Linked DNA regions of Canis lupus familiaris. The protein of the gene in region 2 purifies or fractionates together with the protein of the main gene of each other region. This does not show direct contact. Links are inferred from orthologs where the notes say so. Each region holds a gene or a part of one and is shown on either strand. Other genes may lie near its edges.

Region 1 (7,110 bases), on a different chromosome or scaffold from region 2:
GGTCCCTCTCCTCATTCTGAAGTGTCCCCAGGAAGGCTTCCAGTAGGACTGCAGGCAAGGTGCTGGAAGCGGTGAGTGACTCAATGCTGACCTCATGTGGCCAGAAAAGGGGCTGCTACACACCTGTTAGAGTTCAGAGCCAGAGGTAGGACTGAATTGGGATAGCTTTTTCCCCAAATTCAGCCTCTGTCTGCATCTGTCCAAGTTCTTGTGTCTTTGCAGTGGTTTCAGATGCCCCAACTCCTTAGGCCTTCATAAAAGAAATGAAGTTTCAGTGAACGTGTTTTTCAAAGTTTTGGATTAGGGACAGGAGAACTTGGCTCTTTCTATTTGATCTTGGGCAATTCAACTCACCTCTCTGGATTTCAGCTTCCAGACTTTAAGATGGGGATGTGATAGTGCCAGATGAAAGCCCAAGTAGTCTGGTCTGGAGTTTCTGACTGTATTTTTGCTCTAGCCTTTGAGGATGAGAGAGGAACATGTCAGGGGAGGAAGTTGCAAATGTCTGAAATCACACTGACCTCAAGGGAAGGAGATGCCTCAATTTCCTTGGGCTTTCCCCTCATGGTTTTTCACCGCCTCATGCTCAACATATCCTCTCCACTCTGATTCTCCACGGGGCTGGAGAGCAGTGGGGCATCTCCTCCTGTGTACCCACCACTCTTCTCTCTTCATTCACCCCACCAAGCACACACACTACGTACCTCTCTTCTCCCCCCAGTCCTCTTCCCTTTCCCTCACCCCACTGGGTAGTCGACCCCAAGGTGTGCCCCACACCACCCTGTTCTCACTCCTGTCTTAGCACAAGCACTCTGTATTGTAATTGACAGGGAGATTTTTGAAGGCTGGGACCAGGGGACATTTTTAAGTGTGGGTAGGGTTAGGGGTTGTTGGTTACTACTGTTACTATGATACTCAGTTTTGCTTCCAGCAGAAAGACCAATGTCAGGCATATAGGAAACTCCCCATACATGTTTGTCAAATGAATGAATAGATGGATGAATAAATGAGGTTGCATAGAAGAAGGTAGTAGGAAAGCTGGTTAGTAGCTGTCTACACTCACTCCAGTTTTCTTCCTTTCCAGAGATGATTGGGGATGATTCTTCTAAGGTCATAGCTGCCCCTGGGTTGATGGCACTTGGAGTAGGGGATGAGTCATGGGGCATGGGGTTGGAGCTCACCATGGGGGAGGAGCTTGCCTATAACCTCCGTAGGCCCTTTAGGCCCAAGGAAAGGAGGGACAGGGAAAGAGGAAAGATGTGCTGGCATTGTGGCTGTGGCTGTGGTGAGGACCTCAGCAGAGCATGACCCAGGATGTCTGGGGCCTCCCCATCCTGGCCCCACCATGAGGAACTAAACTTCCCTGATCACTAGGGGTAACCAGATGTTGTAACCGCCTGGAACCAGTGTTTCATCCTCGTGAAGAATGACCACCCTGCTTTTTTTAGATAATAAAAACATGACCACTCTGCTTTTTTTTTTTTTTTTTTTTTAAGACAAGAGCTTGCCTGAGAAAACTCACTTTCAAAAAACAAAACCAAGGGACGCCTGGGTGGCCCAACGGTCGGGCACCTGTCTTGGGCTCAGGTCGTGATCCTGGGATCTGAGATGGAGTCCCGCATCAGTCTCCCTACGAGGAGCCTGCTTCTCTCTCTGCCTATGTCTCTGCCTCTCTCTCTCTCTCTCTTTCATGAATGAATAAATAAATCTTAAAAAAAAATCCTCACACCCAGTTCTATGTGATTTAGGAAGTTGACCCAGGAGACCCTCTATCCAGGACCCAAAGGGAGAACTGCCCGTTTACGGGTAATAGGTATCCCCTTTCCCTACCCAAACTCCTGGGCACGGATAGATGAGAAAACCACAGAAATTGAGAAAAATGGGTAGGCGATAGGAAGCAGAGCTTTGCCATCCCATCACCTACATGCTCTCCCTGCGTGGTATGCAGCCTGTGCAGACGATTAATAAATATTCCTTTAAAAACGAATGAATGAGTGAATGAATGGGAAAAAATGAATGAAGAAATGAAGAAGGGAAGGAAAGAAAGAAAATGCATGGACTTGAAGAAGGAAGAAGGGGGAAATATGAATGAATAGATGGATGGCGGGTGGTCGGACAAATGGATGGATGGATGAACGGGTAAATTAACGCACGAGTGACTCAGGACCGGGTAACCCCGGAGTGGAAGCCAACGCGGGGGGCGGGGCAAGGGGGATTCCGGGGGGCGGGGCCTCGGCCCGGAAGCGCCTGCCGGGGGCGGGGCCGGGGCGGGGCCGGGGCGGGGCGAGGGAGCGGGTCCGACTGGGCAGTGCGGCGGCCGGAGTAGCCGCTGCCGTGGAAGCCGCCGGCGCTGCGAGCCTCGCCCGCGCCGCCCGCCGACCCCTCGGGCCCCCGCAGTCCGGGCAGGAGGCCACCCCGGGCCGGGCGCCAGCTCTGCGAGGCGGACCTGCAACCCGGAAAGGCGGCGCGGCGGAGCCCGGAGCCCGGAGCCCGGAGCCGGATCCCGCTCGGCCCCAGCCCCCGCGGGCCAGCACCCCTGGCATGTCGGAGGCGCGGAAGGGGCCGGACGAGACAGACGAGAGCCAGTATGATTCGGGCATCGAGTCCCTGCGCTCTCTGCGCTCCCTGCCCGAGCCCACCCCGGCCCCAGCCTCCAGGCCCTCGGATGGCGGCGGCCCCCAGCCCTGGACCCATCCTCCGGGAACAGCCGAGGGGCCACGCGAGAAGGAGGACACGGACGCGGAGCGGACCGACTCCACCTACGGCTCCTCGTCGCTCACCGAGCCCCTGCCCTTGCTGGGGGGCCCGGAGGCCGAGGACCCGGCCCCGCGCTCGCCGCTCCCGGCCGCGGGGGCGCTGAGCCCTCAGCAGCTGGAAGCGCTCACCTACATCTCCGAGGATGGAGACACGTGAGTATGGGGTCTGTCGAGGCTGTGCGGGGACCCCTTCCGATCAGTGCTCAGCCCTGGCCTGCGGGATCCTCAGCAGGCCGGGGGCCCACTCTGTGCGGATCCCTCACGACACGGTCGCTGGAAGGGGCAGTCCCCACTCTCTCCTCCAAACTCCAGGCTTCACTCCCAGCCCGCTCTTGAGCTCTGGCCAGCCCCGGACCGGAGGCCCTGGCATCATCTCTCTGCCCTCCCTTTGGGAGCTGGGCACAGCTGACAGGGCCCTTACCAGACACCTGGAACCCCAGCCAGCAGCTTGGAAACCTCCCAGTAACCCGCCCCTTGGAAGGGAAAAGTCCCCTGACCAGTCCAGGTTTTTTTTGTTTTTTTTTTCTTGCTGGGGGAGAAGGCATCTTTGTTTGCTCAATATCTGGGATTCCCAGCCCCTGACCTCAGAATACCCTGTGTCAAGAAACAAAAGGTGCCAGTTACAGGTTGCCAGTGCAGGAGTGGGGGGGGGGGGGGGCGGTCAGGAAGCTTAGGATGAGGGTGCTGCCAGGGTGCAGAGCTGAGGCTAGCTGTGAGGAAGAGGGGGTGAGCCAGGCTGGGGCACTCTTGCCCCAGCAGACAGACAGACAGGCGGCTGGCTGCCCAGCTTACTTCCTTCTCTGCTCTGAAAGGGGAAGTGAGGGCTAGAGTCAGCTTTACCGACACCCTCCACCTCCTGAATCCCCCAAGTCCCCCTCACTGTCCTGTCTGATTCCCTTATTTTACCCTCCCTCTCTTGGGCCCAGATGAAGTTTGGTGGGGATTGGGCCTGGCGGCTGTGGGGGTGGGGGCGGGGACAGGCAATTTAAGTAAGAGAAGCACTTTGTGTAGAAGGGACTGGCCATTTGAAGATTTGCCCCTTAGGGAGAAGAAACAGTGTCAGGTGAGGAGGTGGCTGGGATTTGGGGGTGAGAAACAGAGTGGGGCGGGCTGGGGTCCCAGATCAGGGATCCTGGAACGAATAGGGGTGGGGAGAGTAGAGGAGGCTGGAGTTATCTGTCCTGACCTGCTTTTTGGAGATGGGAAGGTCCTAATCCTGGGTAGCCTTTGACAAAGATAGCCAGTGGACCCAGTGGGTGGGACAGGAATGACCCCAGGCCTTTTTGTAACCTGCCCAGATCACCAGCCCTCAGGCACAGAATCAAGATGGGGCGGGGGGGCGGGGGGGGGGGGCGCTCCATGTGGATACCTATGACTGACCTTTGGCCTAGGGATTGGAGACTTCTGACCCTGCTGTCCTTTGTCAGCCTCTCAGCTGCAGCCTTTACCTAGTTAGAGACAGGTGTGTTTAGAGGAGGCAGGGGGAGGTGGAGAAGAGGTGGCAGGACTTCCCAGGAGGTCCCAAGAGAGGAGGGGGCACTCTCTTCCCTCAGAGGTGTCTGGCCTTCTGGAAGTGGAAAGAGGAAGTGGGAGGAGGGGAGACAGGGAGAGAGGGAGGTGGCTGCAGGAATGTGACCTACAGAACAGGCCCTGGCCGAGGGGATTTCCAGAGCGGTTCCTCCGCCCTCCCTCCCTCCGCCACTCTCTCCTGGGCCTCTCCTGCCACCAAGCCTTACCCTCCTCTGGCCTGAGCAGCCCCCTCCAGGGCCCAGAGAGGCCTTTACCCAAACTACCCCTTCAGGGCAGTAAATGCCCCAAGGCAGCTGTCCTGGCCTCCACCTTCTAGCTCTGGCTTTCATTTTCCCCACCTGATGTGGGGAAACCCCAGGACTGGAACTTCCCCTCCCAGCTGCCCCCTCCCACCCTAGCAAGAGGTGAAGGCTCTTTGGCCCCCAACAGACACACATTTTCTGCACACCACAGACCTCCCCTTGGAAGCATATGCAGAGCAGAGGGCCTCTGGTCAGGCCCCACCCAGTCCCTTCTGTGTGAAGAGTGGCCTTTCTGATTCCTCTGGGATGGGCAGCAGGACAGGATGCCTCGCTGTCTCCTTGCTCCACTTCCAAGAGCTTCTCTTTTCTCTCCCCTGGAATGTGTAACATTGAGTTGCTGGGAGTCGGGGTGATCCCACGCCTCCCCTCTCAGTCCTCCTTGTCGAGGTTGGCGGAGGTGGGGAGCTCAGCCCCGGAAACCACCCCTGTGCTACCCCGGCAGCTTTCAGTTTGGCTTTGAGCTGCAGCCAGCCTGGCAGGGCCCTGGGGCCAGAGGGAGAGAGGGGTGTGGGCGGGCCGAACAGGAAGGACCGAGTCCCATCAGCACCTGGCCCACGCTGCCACTGGGCTAAGGCCCTCCTGAACGCCAGAGATGGGAACTTGGAGCTCCCAGCCCCCGGATCCTGGCTTCCCTCACCAACCCTCACTTCCTGGCTCAGACTCTCACTTCCTACACCTAGCCCACGGCTGGCTTCTGAGACATTGATGTGTTCTTCCTTCTAATCCCAGAAGCCTAGCTCACTATCTAGGGCCTGAGCCCTAACACTAACCCCTGTTCTTGCTGTGTCCCCCTCCCAGGCTGGTCCACCTGGCAGTGATTCACGAGGCCCCAGCTGTGCTGCTCTGTTGCCTGGCTCTGCTGCCCCAGGAGGTCCTGGACATTCAGAACAACCTTTACCAGGTGGGTGGGTAGATGGAGAGAGTGGGCTATGCCCAGATACCTGTACCTGCCGTTCCCAGCAGCCACACAAGCATACATAGGCTTCACACTCAGGAAACCATATGCCAGACATGGGGATAGAAGCCAATGATGCAGACATGAGTAAGACACAGTCTCTGCCCACAAGGTGCTTGAGCCTGGGCTAGGGGACTCATGTCAAACTAATTACATAGCATGGTGACAAAAGTGGTGATAGAGACACATACCAGCTGCTGTGGGATCTGGTGTCTGTGGGGAACAGCCAGGGAAGGCCTAATACAGGAGGTGGCATCTTCCTGGAGCCTTAAAAAAGGAGTATGCGGGATCCCTGGGTGGCACAGCGGTTTAGCACCTGCCTTTGGCCCGGGGTGCAATCCTGGAGACCCGGGATCGAATCCCACGTCGGGCTCCCAGTACATGGAGCCTGCTTCTCCCTCTGCCTGTGTCTCTGCTTCTCTCTCTCTCTCTCTGTGTGACTATCATAAATAAATAAAAATTAAAAAAAAAAAAAAAAGTATGCCAGGTGGAGGCTGCCTGGTACCTCTGTCTTTCCTCCCTCCAACCCTTCCTTGTCACCTGGCCCCTGGGGATAACAGAGATCTTCCCAGATGGTGAGAGGGTAGGCCCCGCCCCCATCTGTCCTTACTCCAGGGGCTAAGGAGATCTGCAAGAGAGCAGGGACCCACTTGGCTCAGCCTGCCTCCAGAACTAGGGGTCCCAAGAGCTCGGTGGGTGGTGACAGAGGGAAGGGTTTGGTAGCATTTCTGTGGAAGCCCAGGGCCATAGCCTTTATAAGCTGCCCTCAGGGAAGGTACCAGCAGCTGGTAATTCCTGGGTCTGCCCTAACATGTCCCCAGATGTAGGAGTGTGCTACAATAGCCCTGTGATCCTTTGTGCCTACAGACAGCACTCCATCTAGCTGTACATCTGGACCAGCCTGGTGCGGTTCAGGCCCTAGTGCTAAAGGGGGCCAGTCGGGTGCTACAGGATCGACATGGTGACACAGCACTGCATGTGGCCTGTCAGCGCCAGCACCTGGCCTGTGCCCGCTGCCTGCTGGAGGGGCGGCCAGAGCCAGGCCGAGGACCACCTCACTCCCTGGACCTCCAGCTGCAAAACTGGCAAGGTATGGGCAGCCTGCCTCAGGGTTCGTGGGATGAGAAGCGGCAGGAGATGGACTCCACTCTCAGGAAAAGGAGGCTCACAGCGTGTCCATCAGTGTACCTCCTGTTCTAAGCACATGGGTACTCAGTACATCTTTGCTGAATGAATGAATGAATGAATGAATGAATGAATGAATGAATGAATTTGATTTACAATTTACTAAGAGCTACCATGTGCAAAACAGAGAGCTAAACCTTCCCCTTGAAATATTTAGTGTAGGGGCGCCTGGGTGGCTCAGTCTGTTAAGTGTCTATCTTTGGCTCAGGTCATGATCCCAGGGTCCTGGGATGGAGCCTTGCATCAGGCTCTCTGCACAGTGGGGAGTCTCCTCCTCCCTCTCCCTCTGCCATCCCCTCTGCTTGTGCTCTCTGGTTCTATCTCTGTCAAATAAATAAATAAATAAAATCTCTTTAAAAAAAGAGATATCGAATGTAACAGA
Region 2 (7,121 bases):
ATAGACAGGACGAGGGGAAGACCAGAGTGAGTAAGCAAGCCTGGGGTCACACAGCAAGGTAGGGCAGGCCAGGGCCAGAGGCCCCTCCCAGGCTTGCCTGTGCCAGTCGCTGGCCACTGTCTGATCAACACCAGCCTGCCCCACTGCCAGACCCGTCCTCCTCCTCTACTCTCAGGGAGTGGCTCCTGGCTGCCAGACCTTTGCTCCTCAGAAAGCAGTTTTCCTGCTCCCCTTATCTCGTGTGATCTGTGAAGTCATCAGGGTAGAGAAGATACCCCCACTTGGCAGCTGGGGACACTGAAGCTGGGAGAGAAGAAAGGGACAGGCTATGGATCCCTGGCAGGGCCAACCTCCAGGCACTTCAACTTAGGCATCTGTGCTGGATAATGACGTGGGGGGGACCCAGAGATGACTTCGACTTTGGACCCTTGAGGAGCTCCCAGGCTGCATGGGGGAACCAAAACCAAGGCCCAGGCAGCAGTGGCCCGAGCTTTGGACTGCCTTGGTTCAAGTCCTGGCTCTGCAACTTGCTAACTGGAGATACCTGAGCCCATCACTTAACCCCTTTGTGCCTTGGTTTCTCCATCTGTAGAATGGACACAGGAATCATGCCTCATTGGGCTGCTGTGAAAATTAAATGAGTGAATATGTGGGAAGCACCTAGAACTGCCACAATAGTAGGCATTGCATAAATGCAGCTGCTGCTCTTGGATAAAGTGTTGGGTGATCTTATTTTATGGACTTGGGTAACCAACCCACTTTCCCTCTCTAGACATCAGTTCCCCTGTCTATAAAAGGAAGAGGTTGGCAGACCTGCTTTTAGAGAATGGAGTGTAGCATCACACAGATGTTGGTTAGAATCCTCCCTGTCACTCACTGACTGTGTAGCCTTGGGCAAGTCTCTCAACCTCTCTGAGTCCTTCCCTATAAAATGAGGTCGGAGCTCTTTACTCAGGAGTGAACATGAAGGTTCAGAATTACACAGATAAATTGCTTACTACTGTGCCTGACCACCCTAGCCCTTCCATAAAGCTTAGCTATAGCATTATTATATAAAAATCCCCTTTTAGGGGATCCCTGGGTGGCGCAGCGGTTTGGCGCCTGCCTTTGGCCCAGGGCGCGATCCTGGAGACCCGGGATCGAATCCCACATCGGGCTCCCGGTGCATGGAGCCTGCTTCTCCCTCTGCCTGTGTCTCTGCGCCTCTCTCTCTCTCTGTGACTATCATAAAAAAAAAAAAAATAAAAATTAAAAAAAAAAATCCCCTTTTGGGGGCACCTGGGTGGCTCAGTTGGTTGAGTCGCCAACTCTTGATTTTGGCTCAGATCATGATTTTGAGGTCCTGGGATAGAGCCCACATCTGCTCCATGCTCAGTGGGGAGTCTGCTAGAGGATTCTCTCTCTCCCTCTCCCTCTCCCTCTGCCCTTCCCTCTGTGCACTCTCTGACTCTCAAATAAATAAATAAATCTTTGAAAAAAAACCCTCTTTCAGCCAACAAACATTGGGAACTTCTCCTTATTTAGGGCTCAACACAAATAACACTCCATCCCACCCCAAACTCCCACCATCCACAGACAGCCAGGATGGGCTGCATGGGAACAGAAAACTAGCTGTCTCTCCTGCCTCAGGGCCTTAGCACAGTCTGCTCTCTGCTGAAATGCTCTTCCTCCAGTTCTTTGCATGGCTTCCTCCTCCTCCTTCAGGTCCTTGCTCAAATGTCACCTACTAGATAGGTCTTCCCTGACCACTTTATCGAAAATAGCCTCCTGGTCCCTAAGATAGCTCCAGTCGCTTGTGGTTACGTGCCTTTGTTTTATCATTTTCACAGCACTGATTAGAATTTGACAAGACTTTATGTTAAGTGACTCTTACCTGTCTCCTCCTGTAAACTGTGAGAACCTCAGAATAGGGGACACATCTATACACATGTCTAGCCCATCAGAATGAGGGAGAGGGAATGAGTCCATCAGAATGAATGCCCTATCACAGCATTAGTTCTCCCATCCTTGCCCTGTTGTTAGGTATCAATGACCCCAAGACTTCTACAGAGCCTTTATCACATTTTATAATCCACATTTAATTTACTGCATATGTGCCTGCCTCCACATCTAGGTAGGGAACCCGTGAGGGCACAGTCAGGGCTGCCTCAGTCACGGCTGAGTCCCCAGCACTGCCCAGCACAGGACGAGGTACAGAACGGGCACTCAATAAATATTTATTGAAGAGATGACATCACAAATTACTCTCAACTGAAACCAAAGATCTTGGGCCAGAAAAAAACCTCAGCCTTGCTCCTGCCCAGAACTAGTGCTTGGGCAGTACCTCTCTCCAACGCCATGCCCCACCTTTCACCATTGTCCAAACTCTCAGACCTGTTAGAGAACCCACAGAGCCTCCTCCACCACAGCCTCTACCTCTAGACAGAGGCCCAGCCCCAGTCCACCGGGGCTACCGAGTCTTCACAGTAACAGGACTCAGTCCCTGCCCTCCAAATCCCAGCAGATTTAGAAGAGAGAGAGGATGTTGTCATTTAGCCATGATTCTGCAATTTCTTGGGCAGCACTGAATTTTGGACGGCAGTGCCTGAGGGACCTTCCAGACTAGTGGTTCTCAGCATCTTTTGGGAACTTGCTAAAAATGAGAACTCTCTGGGCCGATCCTAGACCTACTGAATCAGAAACTCTAAAGGGAGGCCTCAATAATCTACTTTAACAAGCTCCCTGGGTGACTCCGATGCACACAAAGGTCTAAGAACCACTGTTACAGGCTGTCTGATAATAGTGATGATAATAATAAAACCAGCTATCAACAGTTAACACTTACTGTGACTTTACTGTGTGCCAGACACTGCTTTGAAAGCCTGCCTGTATTGAATCCTCTCAATCCTCTGGCAAAGGGAGACACTGATACTATGTCCATCGTACAGATGAGGAATACTGAGGCCCCGAGAGAGGAAGTGATGTGCAGGCATTCACACAGTGAGGGGGTGGTGGCACCGGCATGTCATTATTACCCTCTGCACTACCGTGGCCAAGCTCCCAAGAGGACTCCTCTTAGAGGGTGCTACGTGGTTAGTGTTACCTGTCCAGCTCCTAACCCCCCGGGAGGTAGGGACCCCTGGGCCCCCGTCTCAACCGGCGGGGACCAACACAGGCGGTTAGAGGACAGCTGAGGCGGACCTGGGCGACACCCCACACAGGGGCGTGCCCAAAGCCGCCTCCACAGGACCCTCCCCCCACCCTAGCGCGCGGGTGGGCCGGAACTGTGGAGGGCTGCTCACCCGTGGTCCTGGAAACGGCGAGCGAGGAGAGGTCCGTGGACCCTGCGGGGAGGGAGGCATGTCTCAGGAGGGGCCGGAGAGGCCGCGGGAGGGCCGCACCCCGCGCCTTCGGGTCGGGCCCCCTCACCCCGAACGCCCGCAGGGTCTGGCCTTGCTTCCCTTCCCCAACTCATTCTCCCCACCCTGCGTCACACCCCGGGTCGGGTCTGGAGGAGCCCTTCCCAGCTTCACTTAGGAAAGCCCGCGCCCGTCCTTTCTCTCAGGGTCGACCCTACCCCTTCACTTTTTCGGCGTCAGGCCGTCTCCTTCTCCCCCAGACCCTGCCACCTGGCTCCTGAAGCAAGCCCCAGCCCCTCTTTCTTCTCAGAGTCAGGCCCCGCCCTTCTTTTTTCGGAACAAGCCCTCCCCCTTTTCCCTGCCAGAGTCAGGCCCCTCCCGCTTACTCGGAGTCGCCCCTCGCTTCCTTCTTGGAGTTAGGCTCCGCCCCCATCTCGCTCTCAGTCAGGCCCCGCCCCCCCGGTGAGCCAGGACCCTCAGCTCCGACTCCGAGTCTGGCCACGCCCACACCTCCGCAGGAGCGGCTCCCACTCCGCCCCCTCGGAGCCAGGCCCCGCCCCTCCCTCTCGGAGTCGGGCCCCGCCTCCCCCTTTGCCTCAGGGTCAGGCCCCGCCCCCTTCTCACTCTGTAGTGGGACGCCTCCCTCTTACCTTGGGCTGGACCCCGTCACTATCCTCTGCCTCCTTCCTTCCCTCTAATACAGTTTCCCTGGGACCCTCAGCCTCGCCCCCCCAAACCCCTAGGCTCCTGTAGGAACCCGCAGACTACTCCGGGACCCCCCGAGCCCCCGCATCTCCAGTTCCTCCCCAGACTCCTCTCCTGAACCCGAGTCCCGCTTACCCAAGGCCCCCAGCTCCGGCGCAGCGGACGGTCTGGCGACGCGGCGGCTCGGCATGGCCCGACCAGTGGGGACGGACGGCCCGGAGGCCGGCGCAGATCAAAACACACGCCGGCAGGCCGGGCGGCCAGGAGGCACGGTCCCGAGGACGATCGCCGGTCGGACGAGCGGCGCAGGGGCTGGGGCCGCAGGCCGGGCTGGAAGCGCGGCGCCCGGGGCTGCGGGGGGCGCCGGGCCGGGCCGGGCGGGCGGCGGGCGGGGGCGGGGCGGCGGAATTCCCCGGCGCCGCCGGCCTGCGCGCCCATTGGCCCGCACCCCATCATGACGTCACGCTAGGGGAACGGGAAAACCCCCACGCGTCACGTGGTTGCGGGGGTGGGGCCGGCCGGGAAGAGGAGGCCGGGCGCACGCGAGGGGCTGGACCCGCGCCGCTGCCCATTGCTCTGGCGGAGACAACTGAGGCTTGCTTAGGGCCACTCATGTCCTACCCGTGGAGCAAGTCTGGAAATTGAGGCCCGCCCCCCCAGGTCCACCAGCGGTAGCTGAACCTGCTGTTCTCTGGCTGTAAGGGAAGCTGCGGATCAGGAGGTTGGCAGGGCTCCGCTGCCATTGGTACTAATGATCTTTAGGAAAACTAGTCTCTCCCTATGCTTCAGTTTCTTTAACTGTAAATTGGGATTGAAGATACTTAAAAAGTTTATGGCTAGAATACCAGTTTTAGGATTTGTCTGTTTTGTTCCTTGCTCTAACCCTAGAGCCTGGAACAGCCCTTGGAGCACGGTAGATGTCCAATGTTTGAGTTAATGGATGTTTTATTCCTGCCCCACTGCCCCACGTAATTTCCTAATAGCCCGGAAGACTTTCAGCTCGAGGGTTCCATAACTCAGTGTGCCAGCGTTAACGATGGAGCCCCCAGTATACATGCTGAGCGGTAGGCAGGGCCCCTGAGCAAAGGGCTCTCACCAGGGCACCTCACAGATGCCTCCCAGTTTGCACCTGTGTCAAATTAGGATTATTGCAGAGAGGAGGAGATTGAGGTGCAAAGCAGGGCAGCCCTCTGGTGAGGTCACATTCCTAGGCCTTCACTATCCCTGAGAATGACTAATTGACCATCAGGTCCTAACTTGGATGCCCAGCACTCTCAGACCACAGAGCCAAGGTTTGGCATCCTGTGTCTGCTGCTGTAAAAATTCCACCTCTTTTCTCCATGACCCACACGGATGTATTGATTCATTCAACATACACTCATTGAGCACCTGCTGTGTGCCAGGGTCCGCACTGGGCATCAGGTCACAGCACTCACCATATCAGGCCTGGTGCCTGCTTGTAGGAAGCAGAATCATGTGCAGCAGCAGTCTCAAAGTGTGGCCCTCGGCCGTTCAGGTGATGCGGATAGCTCAAGCTTAAGCTGGAGAGCTACTGCCGTAGAGTGAAATATCAAGCAAACTTTTTCCACAAAAAGCGGCCAAAGGCAGCATGGAAACAGAGCATGGCCGTGTTCCAATAAAACATTATTTTGTGGACATTGAAATCTGGATTTTGTATAATTTTCATGTGAAGTGAAATCTTTCTCTTGAGATTCTTTTTTTCAACCACTTAAACATGTAAAAATCACACAAATACTAGAAAAAGCAGGATTTGGCCTGCAGGCTCTAGTCTGCATTCAACAAGAGTATTGCAAGAGAAGTTATGATGGGAGGGTCCAGAATCAGGCTGTCTGGGTTCAAATCGTAGGTCTCCTACTTACCAGCCGTCTGACCTCAGGCAACTGACTTCATCTCTCTGAGCCTCGGTTTCCTCATCTGTAAAATGGGTCTTATGATAGTTGTGAGGATTAAGATACTAAAAATAGTTGACATTTGCATATAGCTCTTGCATGTGCTGGGCCCTGTTCCAAAAGCAGGGAACCCAACAAAAGCCCCTGCCATCACATGGAACTGAAATCCAAGGCAGAGGAGACAGGTGGAAAAAGAGACACAAATATTTATGTCTGGTGGTGATGGTGGCATTACAGAATAAAGCAGGATATATGGATTGGGTTTGGAGGGCACTGTTTGGGTGAGGATGTTCAGGGAAGGCCTGAGATGAAACGGAGCAGAGTTGAAATGATGAAAGATCTATGTGGCTATCCAGGGAAGTGTGCAAGGCACAGGGAACAGCAAGTGCAAAGGCCCCGGGGTAGGAACACATATGGCATGTTCAGGGAACAAGAAGGCTGGGGTGACCACTAGAGAAGAATTGGACAGGATGGGAAAAAGCTGGCCTGTAAGGTGATAGGGGACATTGAGTTACATATATTTAATAGATGAAGCAAACTACAAACAACCCTGAGACATGAGTTTGGCTCATGATAAGGAACATCGAATTGTGGCTCCTGCAACACGACCAGGAGCCCACCTGATGTCCTCTTGTCCCTTGCAAACGTTGGGCCTCACAACTGTATTAGGTGAATAGCTAGGATAGGTAAGAAATCCTCAGCACTCAGGGCTTCTGCTTGGCTCCGAGCCCCTGGAGGGCAGGCCTGGGGCTTTCTTGGTCTCTGCTGTGTTATACTATATGTTGGCAAATAGAACTCCAATAAAAAAATACACAAAAAATAATAAACCAAAACAAAAAAATAAAAATAAACAGAAGCCCCCCAGCTTAGGGCAATGTGCAGGGGAGGGGCTCAGGAAAAATTTGTGGATTTATTGCATGTCAGTTTCCCTCCCAGTGTGTTAATGCAAGCCCCATCAAGGTCTCCACTTCTGATGTGTCTGGGTCTGTGAAAGTCAGGAGCGCACAAACATATGCTCAGCAAACATTCCTGGAGCACAAACCAGTGAGCAAGACAGCGCTGGCTCTGTCTTCACAAGGCTTGGTCCAGTGAATAACCTGTCTCCAGGCAGTGATGACCCATAGTGGGTGTGAAAGCTAGGAACTGGAGGTCCCAGATCAGGGGTGTG

The links. Proteins that work in one complex are often made in the same cells at the same time.
Region 1: the proteins of RELB (region 2) and NFKBIE purify together in Homo sapiens (affinity purification with mass spectrometry; 3 studies listed by BioGRID and IntAct, counting the BioPlex papers as one, with this or other methods). This does not show direct contact. The link is inferred for Canis lupus familiaris from reciprocal best matches to the Homo sapiens genes RELB and NFKBIE.

What each region holds. Positions count from the first base shown.
Region 1 is NC_049233.1:12,862,448-12,869,557, reverse strand, and holds the start of NFKBIE (NF-kappa-B inhibitor epsilon), read left to right. Parts: upstream 1-2,410; 5' UTR 2,411-2,541; coding exon 2,542-2,909; exon of another isoform or gene 2,910-3,198; intron 3,199-5,386; coding exon 5,387-5,489; intron 5,490-6,410; coding exon 6,411-6,633; intron 6,634-7,110. UniProt on the Homo sapiens protein: Sequesters NF-kappa-B transcription factor complexes in the cytoplasm, thereby inhibiting their activity. Sequestered complexes include NFKB1-RELA (p50-p65) and NFKB1-REL (p50-c-Rel) complexes.
Region 2 is NC_049222.1:111,171,319-111,178,439, forward strand, and holds the start of RELB (transcription factor RelB), read right to left. Parts: upstream 4,373-7,121; 5' UTR 4,234-4,372; coding exon 4,179-4,233; intron 3,324-4,178; coding exon 3,282-3,323; intron 1-3,281.